Linked DNA regions of Rhinolophus ferrumequinum. The protein of the gene in region 2 interacts with the protein of the main gene of each other region in a pairwise test. Links are inferred from orthologs where the notes say so. Each region holds a gene or a part of one and is shown on either strand. Other genes may lie near its edges.

Region 1 (3,745 bases), on a different chromosome or scaffold from region 2:
AAATTCCTTCACATAGCTTCCTAGCCTCCTGAACCCACACCTTCTGTAGTTTGGACAGCCAAAGCCAGAAGAGTGGGTAGGTGAAGGGTTTGGGAGACATTGAAACACCAATTGGCACCTGCTTCCACGAGTTAGAGGAAAACAGAGGAAACTTGCTCTTCTCTCACTGTGAAACCCAGGTTGAGCGAGCAAATTCAACTCTCATCCCTCCCCACCCCGCCACCCCCCATTTTAGAGTTTTTCAAAACAGCACTCTCAGGTTACAAAGAACAGAATCCCCATTCCCAGCCCGGGCCTGGGGTATCCTTCTTTGGGCAGGTTACCTGTAGCGTTTGGAATCCACAGGCACCACGTCGATGGCCACACAGTACTGCTTCCCTGGGTCCAGACCTTTCACCTTGACCCGAACAGAGGGGAACATCCGCCTGTGGAAGAGAAAATAGCGACTGACCTGGGCGCTTTTAGAGACAGTTGGAGTGGGGCAAGGATGGGGACAAATGAGAAGTGAATAAATTCACAATACCCTTCTCATTCTAGGACAGGTTTAGGGAATGTCATTTGCTACATGAAAACAGACTGTTGGTTGTATACGTGATTGAGCAAGTTCAAGATTTCTGATTAGAGCAGAATATCCTTACCACAAGGCTTTGTCCACCCTACTCCCCACTACCATCATAATAAAAAAACTATGGAAGAGCAAGGAAGAGAGAAAAAGCTGTGCCCCTCCCCTCAAGTTTTCAGCACTACTTTCTGTGAGGCAGATTTAGGAAAGACTGCAATTAGGAAGATTCACACAAAAAATTACCCAGCTGCCCCAAAGAAGCTGCCCAACAACAAAAGGTCAAAGTGGGAATGGTCCACCTCAAACTAGCCTGGGCTAGGTGGGATGGATAGGCTGCTAGATGGGATATTATCCACTGATAACTGTGAGGATTTAATGGAGAGGCCTGACCATAACTTAAGATGTGGGGGTGGCATCTGGCACCTGCCTTAGCAGGTCTAATTTTTGTAGTACATCACACAGGTAAAAGCTGGGAGAATGAGTCATTGGAGTCACAATGTACAGGAAAGCCACTGACATGGGCCAGGTACTATCCTACTCTGATCCATTGAGAGGCAGTGGCTTTATAATGACTGTCGGGGGTGGAGACATGGGGGGATGGGTGCTAGAGCGTAAAACTGGAGGCACCACATCTTATGAGAGAGTTATATTAAGTATCTACTGTGTGTGGCCCTTGAACAGCTTGGGCAGAGCCGAACCTGCCGGCCTTGGTAATAATCATTTCAGTCCCTATGTCATGGAATCTCTTCCACAGCTCGAATCCTTGAAGCTCCACTTGGATAGCATCGTTCTCTCCCAGACTTTCACTGCTGTTGCCGCCGCCGCCACAGCCTGAGAATGCAGTTGCCGAGGGCTCTTTCTTGGGTCGCTTTTCTGCTGGATACAGAGACGCCAAGAGTTTGAGAGAGCTTGGCCGTTAGCACACTCCCTTCTCGCTGACGCCTGTCTCGGAGCAGACCCACCTTGTCTCTTCCCCGGGGACCTTGGCGGTGGAGCCCCAAGTTCCCGCAACACCCATTGTAGCCCCCTGATGGTGAGCAAGTAGTCCACGTCGCACCCTGTGAAAGGCACGGTCCTTCTTCAAATTTACCCATCCTCACCAGTATCTCTGAGACTTTAGGTCTCGGAGGCTGAATCCCCTCGGAATCTGGGTGCGTGCCCTGCTTCCTACCCTGAGAAACAGCCACCCTCTGGCTCTCAGGGCTTTGGGGAGGTTGGAGAGTCTCACTTCTCCACAAACATGTGGAGATCTTCTCCTTCACCGTAAATGAACCACAAATTTTTTGCTGAACTTGGAGGCTCTGAAACTTCCCTAACAGCCAGGTGGCCAAGGTGGCCCGCGGCGGCCCCGAAAGCGGCCATCGCCTGGGCCAGGATTTCCAATGGTAGTAGTACTAGCCGCCCTCCTGCAGCTTCGCAGACCACGCTGGAATTTGCAGATCCAGCAAGAGTGGGTAACAGGCTCAGGGCTTTGGGGTGCGGTTGGGGTACTTACCCGGCTTGCTTTTTCGCCCTGCGCCGCTCCCTCTCTCTTCCTCCTCTCCGCCCTCTTTCTCCAGCAGCTCAGGCTGAGCCTCCTCTCGTCGTTCCTGCAGTTTTCTTTTGCTGGGTCTCCCCACTAAGGCTTCCACCGAGAAGGCGTGTGCCCGAGAGCTCAGAGCCATCCTTGGAGGGGGAGAAGGGAATGTGCACTGCAAATTTTCAACCTGAGCTGGGTTAGGGAGGGAGGAGGAGGGAGGGCGCAGAGGACAGGCGAAGGAGGGAAAGCGGGGGTGGAGGGGGGACCCAAATCAGAAAAAACAATTTTTGGATTAATATATATTCAAAGAAAAAAGATGTGTGTGTATATAATTTTTATATATACGTATATATTTTTCTTTGAATAGGATGAAAGAGAAGGAAGATCAAACTGAAGCCAAAGTCCTTTGGAGTTTAGTCCTCCTTCCCTCTGCGGTCTCCTCCCTCCCAACAGACATGTGCGCACCATCAGTCCTCTACTCCCTGATTCCAGGGCCTGGCAGAACGCAGAGATTGGCAAGCGCGGGCCTCTTAGGGAGCGGACCTGCCACCAATGGCGGCTCAGGCGGCTCAGGTTAAGAGATACTGTTGCATCCAACTAAGTGACTACCAAGCCCGTCGCAGCCTCCACTGTTTGTTTTGGAAACTGCTGGAAACATTAAAAATAAAAATGAGTGACACTTCAGAGTCTGACAGGGAGTAGGGATGGAGTGGGGTTGAGGGTTAGCTGGAAAGGGGCTCGCGATAGTGGGGAGGAGAGATACACACAATTACTCTTTTACTTTAAATTGTGAAACTCAAAGACATGCGAAATTGCCCATGAGTTGCCCATGAGGGGTCACTTTTCCAGCAAAAGTGCAAATATTTTTTAACCAGATCCAGAAAAGTGTATCAGGGTCTTTTGTTTCCCAGTGAGCATACTGGAGAAACGATTTATTTTTTCATACTAAGTTTTCAAAACCTGGCATGTAGTTTTTACTTGCAGCACATCTAGTGTGTTCTAAGCACATCTCATGTTGCTAGTAGTTACCATATAGGATGGAGCAGCTCAGGGTGATTCTGGGGCCTCTAGACCACTTTGCTGTAAGCCAGTAGCAACTATCCGTTTTGCCCTAATGAAGCTAGAGGAATGCAAGCTTTCTGTGGGCCTGGGGTGGGGTTTGTTCTGTAGTCTGGGTCTCAAACTGGGTGGGCAGTGTACTGGTCTGTCCTCTATCCAGGTGGGGAGGCAAAGGGTGGGCAGGAGGCTCCCAGATGCCCGTTATCGATGATCAGAGCAATCCTGAGTCTTCAAGCTCTGCCTGTACTGGAGCCCAATATTCTCACACACAGCCTCTTCTTACTCACCTGATTTAATCAACAAACATAGCCTAAGGGCTTCAGGTGCCACCAGCAGAGCACCAAGGGGAACTTTACTCCCAAGGATGAGGGACCTCAAAATGATGGGCTCAAATAATTGATTCCAATGTTTCCTGGAATATCTCCCTGGGCTCGGTTTTGCTTTCCTTTAAAATGGATAAAGACACCTTCTTTGTTCAGGAAGAGACTTGCCTACCACTTCCAAGGAGCATGGCTATGCACGCAGATATAAGATGTCTGCCTGCATACCTGGGATTTGGTCATCCACTTTTCATCAAAAATAAGAAACCAGGCACCCCTGGACTC
Region 2 (3,745 bases):
TAAAGATTATTTAAACTTTTTTAAAAATGAAAACTTAGATAACATCAACCCCCACTTCAACCATGCCTGTCTTTAAACCTAAACCAATGATTAAGTCACAAAGAGTAAAAAACAAACCGAGAAAGTGCCATCAGCAAACGACAAAGGGTCAGATAAGGCTTAGGAGCCACAGAGACTCCCAGAGATGAACGGGCCGAAGCCGGAGAAATTCACAAATTCACACATGCAGAAACGCAGAGGCTGTGGCTTCAGGCAGAGTCCTGGCTGCCCCTGAACCAAACCTGCAGGACTGCAGGCGGACTGTGGACTGGCCAAAGTCTAGATGCCAAACTGAGGTGCCAGCTTTGTGGGGGGGACCACAACCACCCCCATGACCTGGGCAGATGTCACAAGCTTTAAGGCATACTTATCTGCGACCTTGTGACACTTGTAGAAATGGGTCCAGGACTATTATGGACGCAAAAACCAAGCAAACAAAGGTGCTAACGTCAGTGTCCCCGTGGGGACCCAGGCGGCAGGCCTGGGTGGGGGCAGGGGGCCAGCCCCTCTAGGAGGAGGCTGGAGGAGCCCCAAGAGTGAGGAGGGAAACCCATTGTGGCTTGTGCTTCCGAGGGGAAGCTCACTTGCCAGAGGGTAAGGCGGGACCCCAACCCCGGCCCTTGGGTCCCTTGTCCCGCCCAAGCACACGGGATGTGGCAGGGGCATGTTCCCTTCTCTCCAACTTCCATCCCAATCTGGGAAGGAAGGGACCCCCCCACACTCCCAGACCTACCAGCTGTGGACATCCCTGGCACAGACGCTTCTGAGGACTTCAGCTCCTCCACGCCCACGGTCTGAGGGGCCTCCCAACTGCTGGACACCCTGGCTGGGACAGAGAGGTCCCCCCAGGAAACGTCACCAGGTCTGGAAGTGTGCAAGCGGCCCACATGGCTACTCTGGGAGAGCCAGTCCACACAGCCAAAGCTCGAGGTCTGCTTTCGGCTACCGGGCAGTGTGGAGGAAGGATGCATGACTGGATGGTGGGGGCCAGGCGTGGGGTCTGCTGTGGGTTGGGTGGCAGGCGGGGCGGGCTGAGCACTGGATCCGCCTCAGGTTTAGCAGGGCAGGGCTGCATTTATAAGCTCCAGAGAAGCGGGTGGGAGGTGGGTTTGCGTAGATGGCTCAAATCCCCCCAGATAAGTAGCATCTAATTGCCTTCAATTCAGAGGCACAAAGGAGGCCATTCACACCTCCCCCGGCTCCAAGATGTCTGGGGGAGGGGCGGGGCTGCGGTCAATGGTTAAGGGAGCTGTGGTGGCTGGGGACTTGTTACATCCTTTCATCTCTCCCCACCCCCACCAGGACTGGCCTAGGCAGCAGGAAGGTGAGGATGGCCCCCTCCCACCTCTGCTCCCAAGCTGGGGCCTTGTCCTGTGGGGTGCCAGACCATCTTCTCTCCCCTAGTTGGTTCTCCCACCTGCCCTGTGGGTCTGCAGTGCTGAGGTGACAACTGTGCAACTGAGAGAGAGGTCGCTTCAACTTGGGGGAGTCGGCATCCTGCTCTCAGGATGGGGTGGGTTCGACCAGTGTCTGCTGTGTCCAGGCTGCCTGGCTGGGCCGGAATGTAAGGCAGACATTCCTGGTAGGTGACTGCTACAAGCCAGGCATGGCAGGGAGGGTCTGCTCCAGGCTCCCACAGGCCCTTCTGTCTCGTCACTCCCAGCCCCTCTTCTGGGTTTCGTCCCGGTGCCACAAGTTGCCTCCAGATTTGGGTGACACAAAGGAGGAGGGAGGAGGAGGTCTGCTGGCTCAGGGCTGGGCCACCTCCCTGCGCTGTTCCCAGGAGGAATCCAGCAGGAAGGCCAACAGACTCACCACCTCTGGGACAGACTGTAACTCAGTTGCCACTTTTGTGACAGGGCACTATGGAGCCTGAGCTTCAGGGGAGTGCCTGGAGGTCACCCTGTCCCTGTGGCTGCTTCTCTCCTGAACTGGCCAGGTCCCGTCCAGGGCCCGGTACTCTGGGGGAGGCAGCAGGCTCAGCCGGGTGGACACCGTGCGGTGGTTGCCCCTCTAACCAGGCTGGTCCAGCCTCCTCTGGACCTCTATGCCAACCTTGGCCGACCACATCTGTCTCCTGGACAAGACCAGCACAAGCATACCGGGTGCAGTCGAGGCAAAAACCCACCGCCCGGATCTGAGCACCCCTAGAATGCCAGCTAGGAGTTCGCGTGCGTCCCCGGGGCCGGAGTCAGGTGCAGGCGCTGGTCCAGCCCCTGAGCCTATGCCGAGGCTTTGGTGCAGACGGTTGGGTCAGCAGCTTGGGCTCCTGGGGCGCCAGCGCCAGTCTGGGCCCAGCACCGACGACCACCCCCGCGCCCCCAGCCTGTGGAATCAAAGGGCCCGCGGGCCTCGCCCTGGGATTAACACCCCAGCCCCGCCTCCCCAGCCTCTCGGAAGGGACGGGCCAGGGATGTGGGAGCCGGACTACCACCGGCACAGCGGGAACCGGCCCGTGTTGGCCCGTGGTCTAGGTGAAAGGTCGGGGACTGACCGCAACGCCTCTGACTCTGACTGGGGTGTTCCTCCGGCCTCTGCACCGACCGCATTCGGTCACTGGACTCCGCGGGATGAAGCTAGGGATTTGAATCACTCGCCACGTGTCTCGCGGAGTGTGTGGTAAGAGCTGCAGCTTGCGATTAGCGGGGCGCCCCCCCTCACTGCGCGGGGCCCCGGACGCGGGTGTGGCAGGCTTCTGGCGCCAACACGACATGGACGTTCTGCTACCTGGGGACAGAGGCCCGTCCGGTGGGGGCCTGCGCAGAGCTCCTCCGGGGACAGACAGGTTGGGGGTGCCTCACAAACCTGGCAGAAGGAAGTATCCCCCAGGACAGCTCCACGTGCTCAGAACAGGCCTCTAGATAAAGAGCCACATTTCCTGGGATTGCCCAGCTATGCGCCCAAAGCTGTCATTTAGGAAATGTCGGCGTTCATGCGCACCGCTTCTGCACTTGGCATCTTTCCATTTCTAGTCTTTAGGGCCGGGCCTTTGGCCTCTCGACCACATACCCACACCTCCCGCAGCAACCCAATTGTGCTGCGCGACTTCCTGTCTAATCCCGGACTCTCTAGCGGCCCTCCGCCTTCACTTTCCCAGATTCCCGGCCCCCCCCACACACCTGAACACCTCTCCTGAGTCCAAAGGTGACGGCGCCTCTGCAGGTCAGATAGCCCCCCTCCTTCCGGAGTCCTCCCCTCCAGCTCCAGGCTGCTGGCCCCCTTCCTGCCCAGTGGTCCCTCCCTCATTCCCTTCAGCCCTGCCACGGGCTCCGGCACGCTGTCCTCTCACCTGACTGGCTCCCGTCCAGTGGGGTCTCCCGTCCCCTTCTGTAGTCTGGGTCCCTCCCTCTAACCCGGCTGTTCGAGACAGTGACAGCTGTCACCCATGCCCGGCCTCAGCTTCCTCAATGGGCTTAGGATCAGCTTTTGGGGCTGCCGGGACCTTGCCCTTCCCCTGGCTCTGGGACCCGCACTCCGGGTTTACTACTCCGCAGCAGCCCCTAGGCCGTCTTCCTGGGAGACCCCGTGATAGCATGCGGGCGTGGCCTGTGCTCTCGGCCGCGGGCCTCTATGTCGGGGCGACATACTCCCAAACCCTGCGCCTGCAGGCGACGGAGTCCCCTCCCACCTGTACCTGCGGGTGGCGGGGCCTAGAGTTGAACGGTGGACGCGCTCCCCACGCTCTCAGTGCCGTCTGTCACTCGGA

What was found. The genes of interacting proteins can lie anywhere in the genome.
Region 1: the proteins of VENTX (region 2) and TBX22 interact in binary tests that used the Homo sapiens proteins (3 or more experiments, as listed by UniProt). The two-hybrid records come from large-scale screens. The link is inferred for Rhinolophus ferrumequinum from reciprocal best matches to the Homo sapiens genes VENTX and TBX22.

The regions. Positions count from the first base shown.
Region 1 is NC_046284.1:73,947,408-73,951,152, forward strand, and holds the start of TBX22 (T-box transcription factor TBX22), read right to left. Parts: upstream 2,227-3,745; coding exon 2,058-2,226; intron 1,439-2,057; coding exon 1,261-1,438; intron 426-1,260; coding exon 324-425; intron 1-323. UniProt on the Homo sapiens protein: Probable transcriptional regulator involved in developmental processes. This is major determinant crucial to palatogenesis.
Region 2 is NC_046299.1:302,246-305,990, forward strand, and holds the start of VENTX (homeobox protein VENTX), read right to left. Parts: upstream 2,539-3,745; 5' UTR 2,534-2,538; intron 1,498-2,533; 5' UTR 1,457-1,497; intron 866-1,456; 5' UTR 786-865; coding exon 773-785; intron 1-772. UniProt on the Homo sapiens protein: May be involved in ventralization.